Linked DNA regions of Drosophila melanogaster. The protein of the gene in region 2 purifies or fractionates together with the protein of the main gene of each other region. This does not show direct contact. Each region holds a gene or a part of one and is shown on either strand. Other genes may lie near its edges.

Region 1 (9,199 bases), on a different chromosome or scaffold from region 2:
GACACAATTCCCCTAAACAAATGGTAAGTGTCCTCTGGCACACCCACAATTACTCGTATAAAATCCACTTTTTCGGAATGCTCGAAGCAATTTCATATTCAAAATCATACTTCTGGTGTTGCAGCCACAACCTTCTAATATCAGTTACGACTTGCACCAAATAATCATTCGAAAGAATTCCTCAAAAATTACATACCAACATGAATGTACATATATTCTGAAAACAATGCGTTTGCCTTTTCCGATTGACACAGTGAAAATGAACAAAAGAATGTTGAGGCTGATGATGAGCGAAACAAAAGTATAAAAGATCTGATTCACCAAAAGTGAAATTCGTAACGTAGATCTTGTGGAAGTGAAGAAATTCTTATTATAATCTAAAAAAACATAATTTTTGTTTCAGTATCTAAGCAACTTTATCCTTGTAAGTTTGGTTCCATGTTTTTGAGCGCCAAAAAGTAGGCAACAAATTAAGCTAAATCAAGCGAGCTCGTGTTGATCCTTAGATAAGCAAGGACTATTGAAACAACTCAAAGATAGTTGGATTAGTTTTAATAATTTTTTCCAATTAGCAACTAACCAAAATACAGAAGGCATTATGTTTGATCAAATTTGGGCTAAGGCTCCGCGAATTGCGTGTTTGACTGCGTGACTTTTGTTTTCCGAAACTCACCCACTTTCGCACGGGCCATTCCATTCAGATCCCGACGCCATGGTCTACGGGTATATGGAGTGGAGTGGAGTGGAGGTCTCCTTGAAACGCGGTTGGTCACGAAAGCGAACAACAAAGAAAAGGCTTGCCCGTCATTTGAGGCAACATTTAATGGCCACTGGCTATGGGGCTATATGGCTATATGGCTAAAAAGCTATAGGGCTCATCCTGAATAAACAGGGGTTGGTGTGTGTGGGTGTGTGCGACTAGGTGTGTGTGTGTGTGTGTTGGTGTGCGAGAAGTTGACGTTCGTTTGTGAAAACGAAGAAAGTGATTAAATCAGCACGATATTTTGTAGGTGTGCGCTAGCTCACCCATTAAATTTCTCCCATCCGCATTCGTGTATGTGTGTGTGTGAGCCCGCACACACACCTACACATTTGAGCTACTGTTCTAAATTGACTTTTCGCCTGGACAAAACTAAAAATGACGACATCGCGTTTTTTTTCGCTTTCATAGAAAAGCTTTGCCTCTAAACATGCCCATCATGCGCGTGTTTATAAACAACACAGATCTCTTACCAACCTGTATATAACATTTATATGTATATATATATAGAAAGGTGTGCTGGGCCTCCGATTACACTCCCACATGCATGTTCGCACACATGTATGCAGTTACCAAATATGGGAACACACGTTAATGTAATTAAGCCTTAAGGCTGGATAAATGCCAACTCGAGTCGTATATTATTTGCGATATTGCAGGCAGTTATAAATTAACTTCTTTATGACTGCTGCTAATTTGGATTTTCAATTCGAGTGCTTGTTATTTTGGGTGTTATTTTAAAAGAACTTAAACAGCTTGAAGATAAGGTTTCAAAAACGTTAAGCCATTATCATTATCCCAGGACTGCCTCATTTTTGGTGGAAGCGATTTCTTACATTTTGTTACAATTTAAATCTGTATTGGTTTTTCACGCAATATCTTTAGTTTAACGAATATCATATATCCTATCTTGAACTTCAGCATTTCGAAAACGGTTTCGAGTGGCTTTGAAAAACCAGTAAGTTCCGTGCAAATACCCCTAATGAAGTTCAATCGGCGCGAATCAGTGGTTCGCGCGCTTATCGATAGGCAATGTTTTGGTTTTGCTTGCTTTCGGCATAAAAACGTAATTTTCATGCGGTTTTTGCGGCAATTTAGGGACGTTTTTCGTTTGGCAAGTGGTGTTTGTGTTATGAATTAAAGTAACATTTAACTCATTCAATTGAATCATCGCATAAAGCAGAGTGTTTTTGTGTTTGAAACTGAAATCTGCGCACGTGTTGACTAACTTGTTGTTATTATTATAGCGTTGCTTAGATATTCTAGTAAATTGGCCGCAAATCAAAAACTATAAACAATTCTCGTGGCTGTTGAAAATGGAGAGTTCCAAACTCTTGAGAAATGCACAAACCCAGCATGGAGATGCCTCATCCGTGGACGTGGAAAACATATTCCTGCACCGCCATATGCTATACACAAATCCCACTTCGGATGGCAATCTCCATGATCGGGAAGATTCCCCCGAATGCGTGTGGTGTCCAGACGACAAGGATGGTAGTCCAGCTGAAAGCAAAGATCCACCGGTGAGTAGTGATAAGATAAGACATTCTATTAAGTACATAGATCCGGTTACTATTATATATCAAGATATCATACAATATATAATTACATATGATCCGCATTGTTTGCTGAGTATACCTTGTGTATTTATAAAAAAGAAAACTAAATTTTTAAAATTATATACTGTATAGTTATAATTTTTTAACATTACAGAAATGTTAGAAATATATTGTATATTCAGGAATATATTTATGTGTAAAATCCAGCTGAACTTGATTAAATGCCGTTTTGTTCATGCACTTGAATGCATATTTGTTTACCCTGGCGTGTCGCCCTCCATTATTAATTCCCATTTATTTACCCGCTTTATAGCGAGGAATCCGCGGCTGGCGACCACTTCTCCAACTTTGACCGATTCGCAGCTAGTAAAAGAGCATATTTATCTTGGGGGAATCGAATGCCCAAAACAATTTAGTCCGGTCTGCTCGCAAATTGTGTGGATTCGGATTCCTGTCCTCACTTATGCAGTATTATTGGTGTCGAGGGAAATTTCAATGCAGCAGCTCCAATCGCACACTTAAAACTTAATTAAAAAGCTAATCAGGGAGTAGCAAATGCAATTTGCTGCATTAATTTAAACAATTAATTAGGTACAATTTCAATTGTTGTAATGCTCTTCATATCTAAGCTCATTCATACTGTAGTAGTTTAATTCTAAATTGACGTAATAAACTAGAGGCAAATTAGGTTTTTGATTGAAGCTTAAAGTGTTGTTTTGTATTTATTCTTCAGAAAAAGTTTCGAAGTAAGTTGCAAACTAATTAATAACAATAATGAAAGAAAGCTCAAACAGCATTGCGTGACACCCACACATGTGAGTGAAAGAAATGGGTTTATTTCAGTTTTATTCTATTACCTTAAAGTTTCGAGAGTCATAAAATTGTATATAAACATGCGGTGGAGCCAGGAGGAGTAGCTGCACCCTGGTACCTGGAGATTTAAGCCATTTTTACGAGACTTTGAGTCACAAATGCCCCAATAAACGAGACTGCAGTCAGTGCCTGCAGTGGAAGAGTCAACGTTCTGGCCGCCATAGAAATTTAAAGCCACCCCTAGGCGTCAGTAGATTCTTAAAAATTTAGGGCTTTGCTAAGATGTGCAACAAAAACCAGATTTTAGACAAAACCCTTAATGGCCCACAAAAACCGGTACAGGCATGCTAGTTTCGTGGCTTTTTGTTTGCTGGTTCCTCCACCTCAACGTACGTGACAGTGTCAAATGGCCTTAAATATTTAGCCAGAGTGTACACTTAAAGCGCCAGACCCATTCCTAATTCTCTCTCGCTAATTAAACTAATCAATAAACTAAAAACCGGAGTGTATACAAACGCATATACATTATATACATGTATATATATGTATATAGGGAAATAGCTCGAGGTTGTCGTCTGCAAGGAGTTAAGTTATGTGTGGGGACCAACTGGACGCACGAATGGACGGACACGTTTCACTTGCCTTCGTAGATATTTTACCACGGATTTGTCATAATTAGTTCTTTTTTGGGTGGGGTTTCAGTGGGTTTCTAGTGTCCCGGCATCTCGCGCGGTGGCTGCCTAACGAGCTACTTTTGTCAAGTTGGTCTGTTGGTCGTGATGTTTCCGCAATTATTAGTGTCAGTGCCTCGTGCTTACGGGCGGGTGGGTATCCTAAGTGCGGTCCTCATTGTTTCCGCGATGCGCCTTTTGGGCCAGTCGTTTTTATAATTCTTACAATACCATGTAAACACGCATTACGAAAACCGCCGCGGATGGCGGTTACTGGTTTGCAGGAAGAGGAAAATCCCTCTAAGACTTGGTCGCCTGCACTCCTTTTCCATTTTCCATTCCACTGACACTGGCTTGCGCCATCAAACTGAGGAATTAAAAGGGAAGATAGGCTGCCTGTGGACTAAGTGGCTTTGCGGATCAGGCACACTTTGCGCAATTAACTAAATAAATAAATGTATAGAAAAGTGGTTGTTAAGAAAACATAAGCCTTGTCATTCGAACATATCAAATATTCCCAAATCTTGCCACTTTAAAAACTCTTGTTGGGCTTTTTGCACAGACACAATACCTATTTTTTTTAATAAGGTTTGATTGCATCCCCTCTGTTAATTATAATTAACAGGTAATATTAATGATTTTAACTTTCTTTTTGTGGCATAATAATGGTGGCATATTGACTTGGAACAATCAAAAGCATTATTTATGTTGACTTTAATAGCCAAGGACAAACAAAAAATTATGAAATAAATAAAAATAACAATTGCATTAATATGTAAAATCTGTGTAGTATATATATTAATTAAGACCATAAAGGGAACAAAACCCATAGAGATGGCACTTTCGAATGTGTTGAGATATCTGCGAGGCGCCAAATTGAATTGATCTGGCAACGCTAAGTTGAATTTGTTATCAATGTAGGTTAATGTGAAGAAAAAGAAAAATCGTGGGTTTGTTTACAAAAAAGCGCGATAAAAATAGAATGCGAATTGGCGGCAAGTGAGGGGAGCCGCCGATGATATCCAATTTGTATGATAATTATGCGCACAGGTGTGGACGGATTGGAAATGTGCCATCAAGAGCATGTGGAAACAGAAACATGAGCCAATGAAGGCGACGGAAGAAGAGCATGTCATTATCCTCCAGTTGGATAAGTTCCAAGATGCTGATCCGGATGAAATCAGGGTGTATCAAGAAGCAGTACCCAAGGGAGTTAGCTCCTCTAGTCTTAAAAACACCGCCTAACAATATAAAAACCTTATCGAAACCCATTGTTAGCTGATAACAGCTTTAGAATAATCTCTGCAGGATCAGAGGTCACTGCAATTCTTAAGGTAATTGCAATTCTTAAGGTAATTGCTGTAGAGCTTCGTGAAACTACGAGGACCGACGCAGAATCAATGATGTCTATGGCACTTGAGATGTGGAGAAGGGAGGGCAGCACAAAAATGATAAAAAATGTTTGTATTTTATAGTTTTAAACTTTGCATAACCCTTAAACAACTCAAGAGACCTGTTTTATTATGGACTTTTGTCTATGTTTGCTTCCTGGCTAGAACATATTGGCTGGTAGACCAGTAACCAACAAAATACTACTGGTTCGCAGCCAATTTTGTAGTTTTTGTTTTCCTTTTAGTGTGCAACAAGGAAAAAACAAACAGTCTGTCTGAAAATTATGCTTGGGCTGCAGAATGAAAACGAGGAATTGTTTGCACACAAACACCGGAAACAAGGCTCCAATGTGTTAAGAGCTGATAAGCTGATAAGGATACATATATGATGACTTTGGCACGGTAGGCTTTCGTATTTTCTGTATCTTCAAGAGTGAAGTTCCTCAAATCTAAACGAATTTTCTAAATAGTAAGCAATTGTTCAGTTTAAAGCAAGAACTAAAGGTGTTTTTGCTCAAAAATAAAAAGAAGACATTCAATGAAGCTGAAAATATTTTAAAAAACTATTACCACCCGTCGTGGTTTATCTTACAGATATCCATATCAGAGGAAAAGTCTGAAACGCAATCAAAAGAAGTTTTGTCGGAAAAGCGAAAAGCTAGCAGCACAGATGACGAAGGGCATGTGAAAAAAGTAAAATTAGAGGCCAATAGTCTAAAAACGAAGCGTCCTGGATTCAGCGATGAAAGATACGACGAAACATCGTATTATTTTGAGAATGGTATGGCCAACATATTAATAAACCAACTTAGAAGATATTCTGTTATAAAATTGCAATCTATAGGTCTGCGGAAGGTGTATCCTTATTTTTTCACATTCACCACGTTCGCCAAAGGACGTTGGGTTGATGAGAAAATTCTGGATGTATTTGTCCGCGAATTTCGAGCCGCACCGCCGGAGGAATATGAACGCAGCCTGGAAGCGGGAAAATTGACTGTTAACTCTGAGAAAGTGCCCAAGGACTATAAAATCAAGCACAATGATCTGCTGGCCAATGTGGTGCATAGGTAAGCATCAGCAGGAAATCTCATTTGAATATGCACACATTTGCATTCTAGACACGAAGTCCCTGTTACTTCACAGCCCATCAAGATTGTGTACATGGACAAGGATATTGTGGTTGTGAATAAGCCGGCATCGATACCGGTAGGTATACTAATTTGGAAGGAATTTGATTTAATAACAATCGTATGTTGTAGGTACATCCTTGTGGAAGATATAGACACAACACGGTAGTTTTCATCCTGGCCAAGGAGCACAATCTGAAGAACCTGCGAACCATTCACAGATTGGATCGTCTCACATCTGGCCTACTTTTGTTTGGACGGACTGCTGAAAAAGCCCGCGAATTGGAGCTGCAAATCCGAACTCGCCAAGTGCAAAAGGAATACGTTTGCCGCGTTGAAGGACGCTTTCCAGAGTAAGTCCAAAATGCATCTAATCTTTTATATATCTGCTTATTTTTCATATCTTTCGTAGTGGCATAGTTGAATGCAATGAGAAAATCGACGTCGTGAGCTACAAAATAGGTGTTTGTAAGGTTTCACCGAAGGGCAAGGACTGTAAGACCACATTTAAAAGAATCGGCGAGGTGGGCAGTGATAGTATTGTTTTGTGCAAACCACTAACAGGACGAATGCACCAAATACGAGTGCATTTACAATTCTTGGGTAAGTGACAACCAGATAATTCCATTCAATTATAACACTCGTATTTCACAGGCTATCCCATTTCAAATGATCCTTTGTACAACCATGAAGTTTTCGGTCCATTGAAAGGAAGAGGAGGAGATATCGGTGGAATAACCGAGGAACAGTTGATCAGTAACCTAATTAGCATTCATAATGCAGAAAACTGGTTGGGCTTGGAAGGAGATCAAATCGTATCAGGGGAAATAAAAGACGTAGCAGCAAGTACTTCAGTAGTAGAGGCTCCCTCAGTAGTTCAGGCTCCTATTAATAGTGAAACTGAAAAGCCTGTGATTTCAAAAAACCTTGAACCAAGTAACGATGTAAGTAACTTAAAATAGTTGTACAAGTCTGGAGAACACAATGCTTATAGGCTACTGCACAGATTGCCACCCAAACGTGCTATGAGGAACCAGACAGGTCCTTTGATTCCAAGAAGACAACTTCGGATCCGCAATGTTCTGAATGCAAGATAAACTACAGAGACCCCGGCACAAAGGATCTCATAATGTACTTGCATGCATGGAAATACAAGGTCAGTTTCAAACTATACATTTTTAAAGATTTAATTTCAAATTAAATCTTATTTTCAGGGCGTTGGTTGGGAGTACGAAACCGAATTGCCGGAATGGGCGTGTAATTCGAATATTGATTACGATAAAGTATAAAGGAAAAATTGATTGCAAACACGACGCTTTAGTAAAAAGAAATATTTTTACAGAGTTTAACAAATTGTGTTTCCATTTTATCTTCATTTGTAGCATTGTTTTATTACTTTGCCGAATTACTTTATCATTTTGCGGTGCAAGGGGATGTCCTCGTGGAGTATTATTTATCGTCGTGCAGTGGATGTCCTAGGATGCCAACTATCCTGGATAATACTTTGCAAGAACTTCACCTGAACACTCTGCTCACAGTGGTTTCAGTTAACTGCAGTTCTGCGAATTTTTAAAATTTAAAACCACAATCAGTTGGCGGGAAGGGAATGCCCCTAATTCTATCGATTAGTTGGTTCTTATCGATAACGGACGGGGCAGGATATGTGTCATCTCTGTCGGACATCTGGCGCAAATGAAATACAAATACCGAATTAAAGCAGCAAAACAATGATACACGATTTGTTATTGGCTTGCCGGAGCCACAATCCGGAGCAGCTGGGTATAAAGGCATTCAATGTAAGTAAAATCGTTGGAAATAAATAATTTCGAAAGCCTTACAAGCGAACTTTCTAGGAAACCACAGTCATTGACCAGTTCATACATCCTTGCGAGCGGGAGATATTTATGGACATTATAAAAATCATTAAGGTTTACCAAGAAGTTGAGCAGTTTACCCATTCATCGGGAAGAAAGTCCGACACACATGGCGAACTTCCAGGTATAAATGGAAGGTTGCATAGTGTTTTTAAGATTTCAAATGTGTATTTCTATCGCAGATAGTTTGCATGGTTACTACTTGCTCAATTTGGCCAAGGGCATTGAAATGGCTCTGGAGGAGTACTACGCTGAGATCGGACGTCTGGAGAAGTATTGTTTGGGTAACGAGCGCAATTCGCTCTCATATGTCTACAATGCCCTGTACGCCAAGTTCCCCCTTCTGGTCTTCATGCGTAATCTCATCACAGAGATCCATGTGCTGAATCTGCGAGGATGCGTCTTGCTCCACAATCTACATCAGCAGTGCGAGCACGGCGATATTCAACTGGAAAAAGCAATCAAGATGCAAGTGATAGCCAACACACAACGCCTTGTTTCCATAATCCAAATGCTCTTCATTATGCAGAATTATGAAGCCTGTTAAGAACGCATTTTTCTCCAGCCTGGCTCACTGGCTGTTGTTTGGAGTGATTGACGATGTCCACTCGGAATTCTTTATTAAGTTTACCCCAACGGATGCAGTTGATGGTAGCTCATTCAGCAAATCAGCCACTTGCTCACTTCTGGTAACAACTTAACAAGCGATTATCCTTACCCTATATTATAAATAGCATATCTATATCCAGAGCGCAGAGAAAAACCCCGAGGATTACATATGGCAATATGAGGTGAATATGTCTCAGCTGCCAGGATTTTTCTCCATCGTTTTAGCCGAAAAAGTTCTGTTCGTGGGACAAACAGTGCTGGTCTTCAAAATGGGGCGCAACGTAAAAGTTAAAAACAAAACCGACCCACTGGCGGCAAAACTGGCTGAATTGGATTCAGATGATATCTATCAGCTGTGGAGCGGCAGGGAGTCCGAGTTCTTCAAAATGGTCGTT
Region 2 (7,852 bases):
GGTTTCTTTCTAACAAGGTTTTCTAATTATTTATTATTATATTATTATAATTATAATAATAATTATTATATATATTATAATAATATTATAATTATATTAGAATATATATATATGTATATATATATATATATATATATTATAATATATTTTATTTCGCTTATAACATTATATTTTATCAATATCTTTATAGTATTTTAAGGTCAGAGGATGCCGAAAAGCTTCTAGGATGTCATCACTGGTCCTAAGGTAACCATTTGACGGAACTGCGCAGGCGTTAACTCTGGCTTCACATCCGCCTCCATCAGGCTGGAATTCTCTGGTGGAGGTGGAACTGAAGTGGGCTCTCTTTGAAGCCTTTGTCGGGCTCCTTAGCCAGGCCTTACTGTTGCCATTTTCTGCGGCAGGGTGGCGGCAAGGAAAAACCCGATTTCCACCCCTAAACTGGCCAGAGTCTCACGTCTGGCGTTCCAATCGACTTTTGCCGACTCTCTCTCAGGGGAGGTTTTGGTCCGAAAATCAATAAAAGTCACGTCGACGTCCATGTTGCTCTGCTCCTGCCGCAGAGGCCTCAACCTCCGGCCCCGGCAGACAATGAAATGATGTCCTGGCCAAAGGACGACGGAATGGGAGGTCGGATGCGGGGCTGGGAGTTTCAGACGAGGACGCACGTGTTGTCCCTGGACTTCAGGCTCGAATGCGTGCGAGTAGCAGCAACAATACCAATTACAATAAAGACAGACATTTAGCCAGGATTCATTTCGAGGGGTGTCCGCAGGAAGGGAAGCCAGCAGGACATGTGAAAAAAGGAGCCAGGAGCGAGGATGAAAAATTTGCCAAATGTATTCCAGCAACGGGTTTCTAATGGAAACAATTAAGTCATTAGCAAGTGTTGATTTTAGTGAGCGATGAGCCGGGTTGGGGATTTAGTTAAACTAATGTGCTCCGGCCATAATGGAGTCCTTTGGGCACTCTGGACTGGATCCCCGCACAAGCTCCCGAATAGTTCATGTACCAGTGGCAGACCCAGCTCGTTGGACCGCCTTACAAATGCCTCGCATTTTTCTCAATTACAATGAACAACTTACATTCGGGTTCACTTTTCGCCACACAACCCACTCCGCATTTTGACCATGTGAGTGTTTACGTCAAGAGGTGAACAACTGACTGCCATTTTTTAACCATGATTGAAGAGTTAAACGCTGTGGCACTTTGAGCGGGCTCGGTTAACTTTTTGGCAAATGACTTCGGCAGCGTTAACCGTTGGAATACCAGCTCAGAATGGAGGTTACATGCTGTTTTTGGTGTCAAGGTGGGACCTTGCGGACTCAGATGGCAGCTTTAAGGAAGAAGATCTTGAAAGATCTGTTATTTAGGGTTTGGAAAGTGGCATCCAAAAAAGTTAATGGATTTTTAAAAGATTTGGATGTTCTAGCCATCATTCTAACGAAACTGTGGCTTTTAAAGTGTAAAGTTTGAATTGTTTATTGTTATAAATTAATAAGATCCATGGAGCATTGGGTGTTGTTTAGAAGTGATTAATTTTTCATTTATATCTGCACTTACCATATATTTTTAGATTCCCTCTCGATAAAACAATGAAATACTTTTGACAATGCCTTGTCTCCTGGCTTAGTTTTATTGAATGACAAACCCTTTAATTCGTTGCTTCAAGAGGTGTTTATTCTCTCATGGTATTTAACTTACACCGTATACAAGCCAACCCAACCACATAGGAAAAGACCGATTAAACTTTATCAGAGAACGTTATTTACTTAAGCATATTAATGTGTGTTTGCACAAGCCGACGGATGCAGAGCAAAATTCATAAGGCACAAGCGGTGGCTCGATCTCAAGTGTGTCCGAAAATAATGAAGTCTGAATGGGAGCTAATTGAATGAATCATTAATAATATAAACACAGACCGCATCCGGACTGGCGAATTGCCGAAAAAGCGAGACGAGAGGAGAAAGTGAGGGTTCCAGTCTTGTTGCGTGGGAATGGAAATCAGACGTTGAGGGCTTATTACGACAAGGAGGGCACTGGGATGACGGTCTGGAAGAGATGCAGTCGCGCATCGGCGTGTCCCAGCTTATTGGTGGCATTGCAGTAGTAGTCCCCAAAGTCCTCCTCGCCCACGCTATCGATGCGCAGCACAGAGGTTGTGGTTCCCGAGGAGGAGGCGGTGTTGGCCACCTCGTGGTGCCGGCTAGACTGCAGGGGCACGCCATTCTTGTGCCAAACTACAGTCGGAGCCGGGTAGCCCTGCACGGAGCACTCCAGCTCCGCGGAATGGGACACCATTTGGGCGATCTTGGGCCTCTGGACGGCAATCTGCGGACGGAACTCCACTTCGACCCGGATCAACCTCTTGTCCGGCTGGCCCTCTCCGTTCTGCGCGATGCAGTAGTAGCCGCCGCGATCCATCCGGTGCACGGAACGAATCCGGAGAGTTGGTTCGGCCAGCAAATGGCCACCGGCAGGCATCACTGCATTATGCTCGCGGGCCCAGGAGATCGTAGGCTTGGGAAAGCCATTGGCATGGCAGGTCAGCTCCAGATTCTGTCCCTCTGTCACCAGGGTGCTCTTGGGGGTGTTCTCCGCAATCACCGGCGGGGTCTTGATCTGCAGGCTCAGCTTCTTGGTCACCTTCTCCGTGGCCGAAACAAGCACCTGACACTCGTACGGACCCATGTCACTGACTTCGATGTTCTGAATGCGGAAGGTGTAAATGGCACTTCCGGTCTTGGGTCCTTCGGTGACCGTTACGTTGTACCGCTGGTCGGGCAGACTGAGGATATTCCGCATGGAGAGCACCACCGAGTTGGTGTCCGACTCGCTGGGACGCTTGGCCCAGCTCACCGAGAGCTGTCCCACCTCCTCCACGGTGCAGTTGAACTCCACAGAGTCGCCCACACTGGCCACCACGTCCTTGCTGATCTGGCTGATCACTGGGGCACTAAGCACCGAATCCAAGCTGATCGCAAGGCAGAATATAAGACCGATTAGAAGCCGCAGACGCGCCATGTCTGGTCTGTAAGAAATCAAAATAGATTTGAGATTTATTAGTGTATCACTTTATGTTGAGTCTTTTGATCGCGTTAGCCATTCTAAATATTTCGTATGTAATGGAGAACTGCCATTTTTAACCCATCTTCGAATTCAATATAATAAACTAAAACTAGGTTCAATTATAGAATAATAATTTAAAGGTCACAAGTATATCTTTAAAAGTATCTTTCAAAAGTAAATAAGAAGGAAAGAATTCTGCACACACACTCGTTTTGAAACATTTATAAGGCTTGTACACACTTTTCAGCTTTATCGTCTTATTTTAATATAATTCATACATTTCTGTTTATTTACAGGATGTTGCTGTTGATTTTGTGACTCTTTTTCCTCGACTATCTCTCAGTTCAATGTGGGTTCAATGCGCTTCACTTCGCGTTCGGGACTCGACTGAATTGAAAGAGGCGACCGAGCTCGGCTCAAAAATCCGTATCTCTGCTGAGGTTCTGAGAATCGGGTTCTTATTTTTGTATTCTTCCTGACGCGCCGACGTCGATGGCTCGGTTTCTCAAGGAAAGTCCCGAAATTTGTACACCGCGAGAATGAAGCAGATAGACACCATTATGATTGATTACCGCGGCTGTGTCTAGACAACGTTGCTTCTTAATGGATACACTGGTAAAAACGGAGATAACTTAGTTTTCCGATATATCAATACTTATTTTTTTTTTTAATGAATAGCCAGGTAAACGAAATCAATTTGATTTAAAATTAATTTTTTTGTAGTTAAGGATGTGAAAAAAGATTTTAAATGGCAGTGTTTAGTAAATAGTTTAAAATTTAGTAAAAAAAATAGTTTACCTTTTATTATATTGCATATTTTTTAATAATTAGTAACAGCTTTTTTCAGTGTATTTGCCGATGAAGAAGTCATCGACGTTTTGGATCTTATCACCCCTCGGTTATGTACATTGTCGCCTTCACAGTATTTGTATCTGTGTTTGTTCAGTATCTCTATCTGTATTTTGTATCTGTGTTTGCATTTTAGTTCGTATTTAAATTGTTTACTTGTGCGTGAGTTTGACTTCGGGCTCAGTTATCAATGCACTTTCCTTCTGGTCTTTAATTGATTTGTTTTGCTGCTCGCTGCTGTTGTTTATGCCTCTGCCTGTGGCCCTCCTGCCCCGCCCACTTGACAGCCCCCGCCCCAAGATAAGCGGTCAGTTGCAAAAACAAAGCGCCAGCGAAAGCGGCCGCAGGCGAACTGAGAGACCGCGTGCGAAATTCAAATTCAAATTCGTGCCGCCATTTGGCCATAAACGTTTCGGGGTTCGTGGAAGGACAATAAAAGGAGCAGCGGCGGGGTGGGAAAGTTGGAACTCTACCCATTTGTGTGATTTATGGCATGGCGCACTACTTTCCGCTGGCGGCTAACAACAACAGCAACGATTACGAGCGGTCCCTGGAATATCCTAGCCGCTCTGGAAATGCCAGCGATCCCAGCGCCGTCTCATTAGTGCTGTCTCTTTTGCGCCGGAGCAGGGGCGCATGCGCGAAAAGGCAAAAACAACGGGGTGGTGTACAAGGCATTGGGTGGAACTTGAATCGAGTCCTGGTTCAGCCATGCTGGGAAATTCTGAAGGATATTTAAAGAGCAGTATTCGGGAAATTTGGGTACCTTTAACTTGGCTGTTCGTAGAAATTTCTTTACACGGCTGAAGGTTAATATGTGTACTCACAGCATACGAGGATAGGAAACGTCGAAATATAACATAGTCTATATTGATTATATTTGTGTATATATATTGATGTGTTTAATATGTGTCTGGATCTCGATCAATTAGTTCCTATGGCAGATGATTTAAGGATTAAATGTGGTCAAAGGCCGTTTGATGTGCAAAATTTCACTTGTTGTATAAGCACCGAACCATTCGAAAACTTTCTGCTGCCCAAACGCATTTAATTTTCATATTTCCAGCCTGATTCCTGATCAGCCCCGGGCCAAGTTTCCCCCTAAAACCCATCGAGGTTAACCCGGCTTTACTCTGCGAGATGATTGATGACGACGCTGTCTGTCTGGCGAAGAAATTCCCCCGAAGAGCGACGAAACTATGGCCACAGTTTCTGGAAAATTAAATCACATCTTAAATCGTTTCGGTGACTTCTGCTGAAATGAGGCCGTTCCCATGGGAGGACAACTGCATCTGTCGTCCGAACTTGGACCCCCGCACTCTCACTCGTACTGCCCATCTGCCGGAATCCTCGTCGCTGAGTGCACATTCGAATCAGATAATTGTAAATTGTGTAAAATAATAAATTTCCAGTTAACTATCAACGGACCGCATAGGGCGCTTCTATTCCGTCCCTTTCTCGCTGCCCACTGACGGCTCTCCTTGTCCTCAGCTGCATCCCGGCAGCGTCATTATGACCATTGCGGCGATGCCTCTTGGATGCAGGTTCAGGTCCTGGTCCAGGTCCTGGCAGGTCCGGCTGCTTCATGCAACGCTCGACTTGGCCCGACCGAACTGGACACACACCGAAACCGAACGAAAGAGACGGCTAGACGGCGTGCGACAGAGAGGGCTGCCGCTCGCATTCAGGCGCAAGCGGATCCAAAACAGAAAATGTCAAATTTTGTAATTTATTACCCGAATCCTGTTTCTGTCAGTGACTCTTTGGGTGTTTCGCTTCAGCAGCGGCACACACGGGGGCATTCAGCATTCAGGGTCGCCGAGCGGGGAAGGGAGAAGTCCTTTGTCACACACTGCGTCTGAATTTGTGGCCCAGTTCCGCACAGTGGTATCTAGCAGATACTTTTTGTAATATTTGTAAGAATGCACAGAACTTCGTTACATTCAGAGATTTCTAGTTTCTAGTCAGATGACTAAATACAATATTATGTGTCAAAGTAATTAATTTTGTTTTTGAATAAATTTCTAAAATATCAGCTTGCCTTTAACGTAAATATAGCCTTTTCTACCTATCTTTATCTGATATAAAAAAGTAGCATTTGAAATGCTGTTGTTGCAATGGTATCGAATTGGTATTAAAGCTCTGGCCCTGTTTAATTTGTATTTGTAGTCAGAGCAACCACTGTACCTTTGTGTGTATCCTTGGGCTTTGCCTATGCGAACGTATTTTGTTTGCCTTTTGGCTGCACTCCGACTCCGTCGACTGGAGTGTCTGTGAATTGACTTTTGTTGCCAGTTGGCAGCGGCAGAAGCAGCAAAGCCCGGCCAACAGCAACAAGCTCCTGCCAGATCCCAAAAGCAAACACGACAATTATTTGGCAAATGTCATTAAAAAATATTTCACTTAAGGCCTTGCGACACTTGCTTAAAGGTCAACTGGCTCGTTGGGTGTGTTTTAAAATGTTAAAGCTTGGGCCAATGCACTGAGCAACTTAATGCTTGTAGATATTTACACAATATTCTTCAACGCTAAACATATCGAATTTTCCAAATATGGAGCCTGAAAATAATAATTGCCAATCCTAGCTTAACATCAGAAATGAGTAGAACAACTTAAAAAAAATTAACAAAAGAATCGAACGCTACAGCTAATTAACTCGACAACTGGTTACCTTTTATTCTTCTAATACATTTTATAATGCACTGCCTAACAGGTACATATAGCAAGCACTATATGCTGTCTTACAAAACGATTATATGATATTTTCTTTCGTACGTAGCCGTTTGAGATCATTTGGAAAAACAAACTCGATCTCCACCATCCTTATTCTTTGTCCCAAGTCCTTATATATCTCGCGATACTAAGATTGAATAATGTAGTTATTAATAGCGGAAGTATGTAACAGAATAAACTACAAAGTGCACATTTTGTTCAATTCAGGCTGGACTGGACTGGAGCATATTAATATTATAATATTAACAAAAATTCAAATTAAACATTCGACACTTGTCTAATTGATTCCTAAATTTGGGGTGCCTGTTTGTTAATTAAATGTTAATATTATGAAGTTCCAAACAGAGCAAAGAGTTTAAGTTTAATTGGTTCTACTTATTTGTTACAATATTCAAGCTTTTTTTTATTATTATTCTCAAATGCAAATCTCTACAAATAAATAAACCTCCGACGTTTTAGAACATTCACCTTTTGTCAGTGAGCACAACCTTTCAATACAGCCCGACAGGGGGCTCTCTACTGCTGTCTCTTCACGCCCCCTGGTGAAAACGCTGTGCACTCAATCGGTTTGCAGCTTTGCCGTACTGTTCGATTAAAAACTTTTAAATTAGAGGCAAACATTTAAAAATAAAATGTCCAAATATTTGTCTAAAATGTATTGTAGACGCTTATTGATTTTTAAATTACTCAAAAGAATGAACATCGAGGGAGGGCCGCCAATTGTGCCATCTCTACATCTCTTCGCTCATCCCTAAATAACGGCACTCTGCAGATGCGAAGCAGTGGATCGCAAAAACGCAAAATGTGGGCGAAATAAGTTCGCGAGCGTCTCGAAAGTAACCGGTTACTGAAAATACAAGAAAGTTTCCACACTCCTTTGCCATTTTTCCGCGCGGCGCTTGGAAATTCGTAAAGATAACGCGGCGGAGTGTTTGGGGAAAATGGCGCAACCGCCGCCAGATCAAAACTTTTACCATCATCCGCTGCCCCACACGCACACACATCCGCATCCGCACTCCCATCCGCATCCGCACTCGCATCCGCACCCACATCACCAACATCCGCAGCTTCAGTTGCCGCCACAATTCCGAAATCCCTTCGATTTGGTGAGTTCCCATCGCAGCAGAGAAGGGCTCTTGTCCCAGGAAAGCTACAGTACAGATTCCCTATGGTGAACAAACAACCAGTGCGATCACTGATG

Evidence for each region.
Region 1: the proteins of Ama (region 2) and RluA-2 purify together in Drosophila melanogaster (affinity purification with mass spectrometry, with the first as the bait; one large-scale study listed by BioGRID). This does not show direct contact.

Annotation. Positions count from the first base shown.
Region 1 is NT_033779.5:10,475,310-10,484,508, forward strand, and holds RluA-2 (RluA pseudouridine synthase 2), read left to right. Parts: upstream 1-1,763; 5' UTR 1,764-2,076; coding exon 2,077-2,283; intron 2,284-5,788; coding exon 5,789-5,975; intron 5,976-6,038; coding exon 6,039-6,261; intron 6,262-6,312; coding exon 6,313-6,400; intron 6,401-6,453; coding exon 6,454-6,674; intron 6,675-6,733; coding exon 6,734-6,924; intron 6,925-6,975; coding exon 6,976-7,265; intron 7,266-7,315; coding exon 7,316-7,477; intron 7,478-7,535; coding exon 7,536-7,610; 3' UTR 7,611-7,666; downstream 7,667-9,199. Other genes in the region: Grip75, read left to right, coding at 8,049-8,117, 8,175-8,319, 8,378-8,663, 8,725-8,884, 8,945-9,199.
Region 2 is NT_033777.3:6,759,012-6,766,863, reverse strand, and holds Ama (amalgam), read right to left. Parts: upstream 4,272-7,852; 5' UTR 3,885-4,271; coding exon 3,868-3,884; intron 3,685-3,867; exon of another isoform or gene 3,348-3,684; intron 3,032-3,347; coding exon 2,023-3,031; 3' UTR 1,603-2,022; downstream 1-1,602. Other genes in the region: bcd (bicoid), read left to right, coding at 7,593-7,757.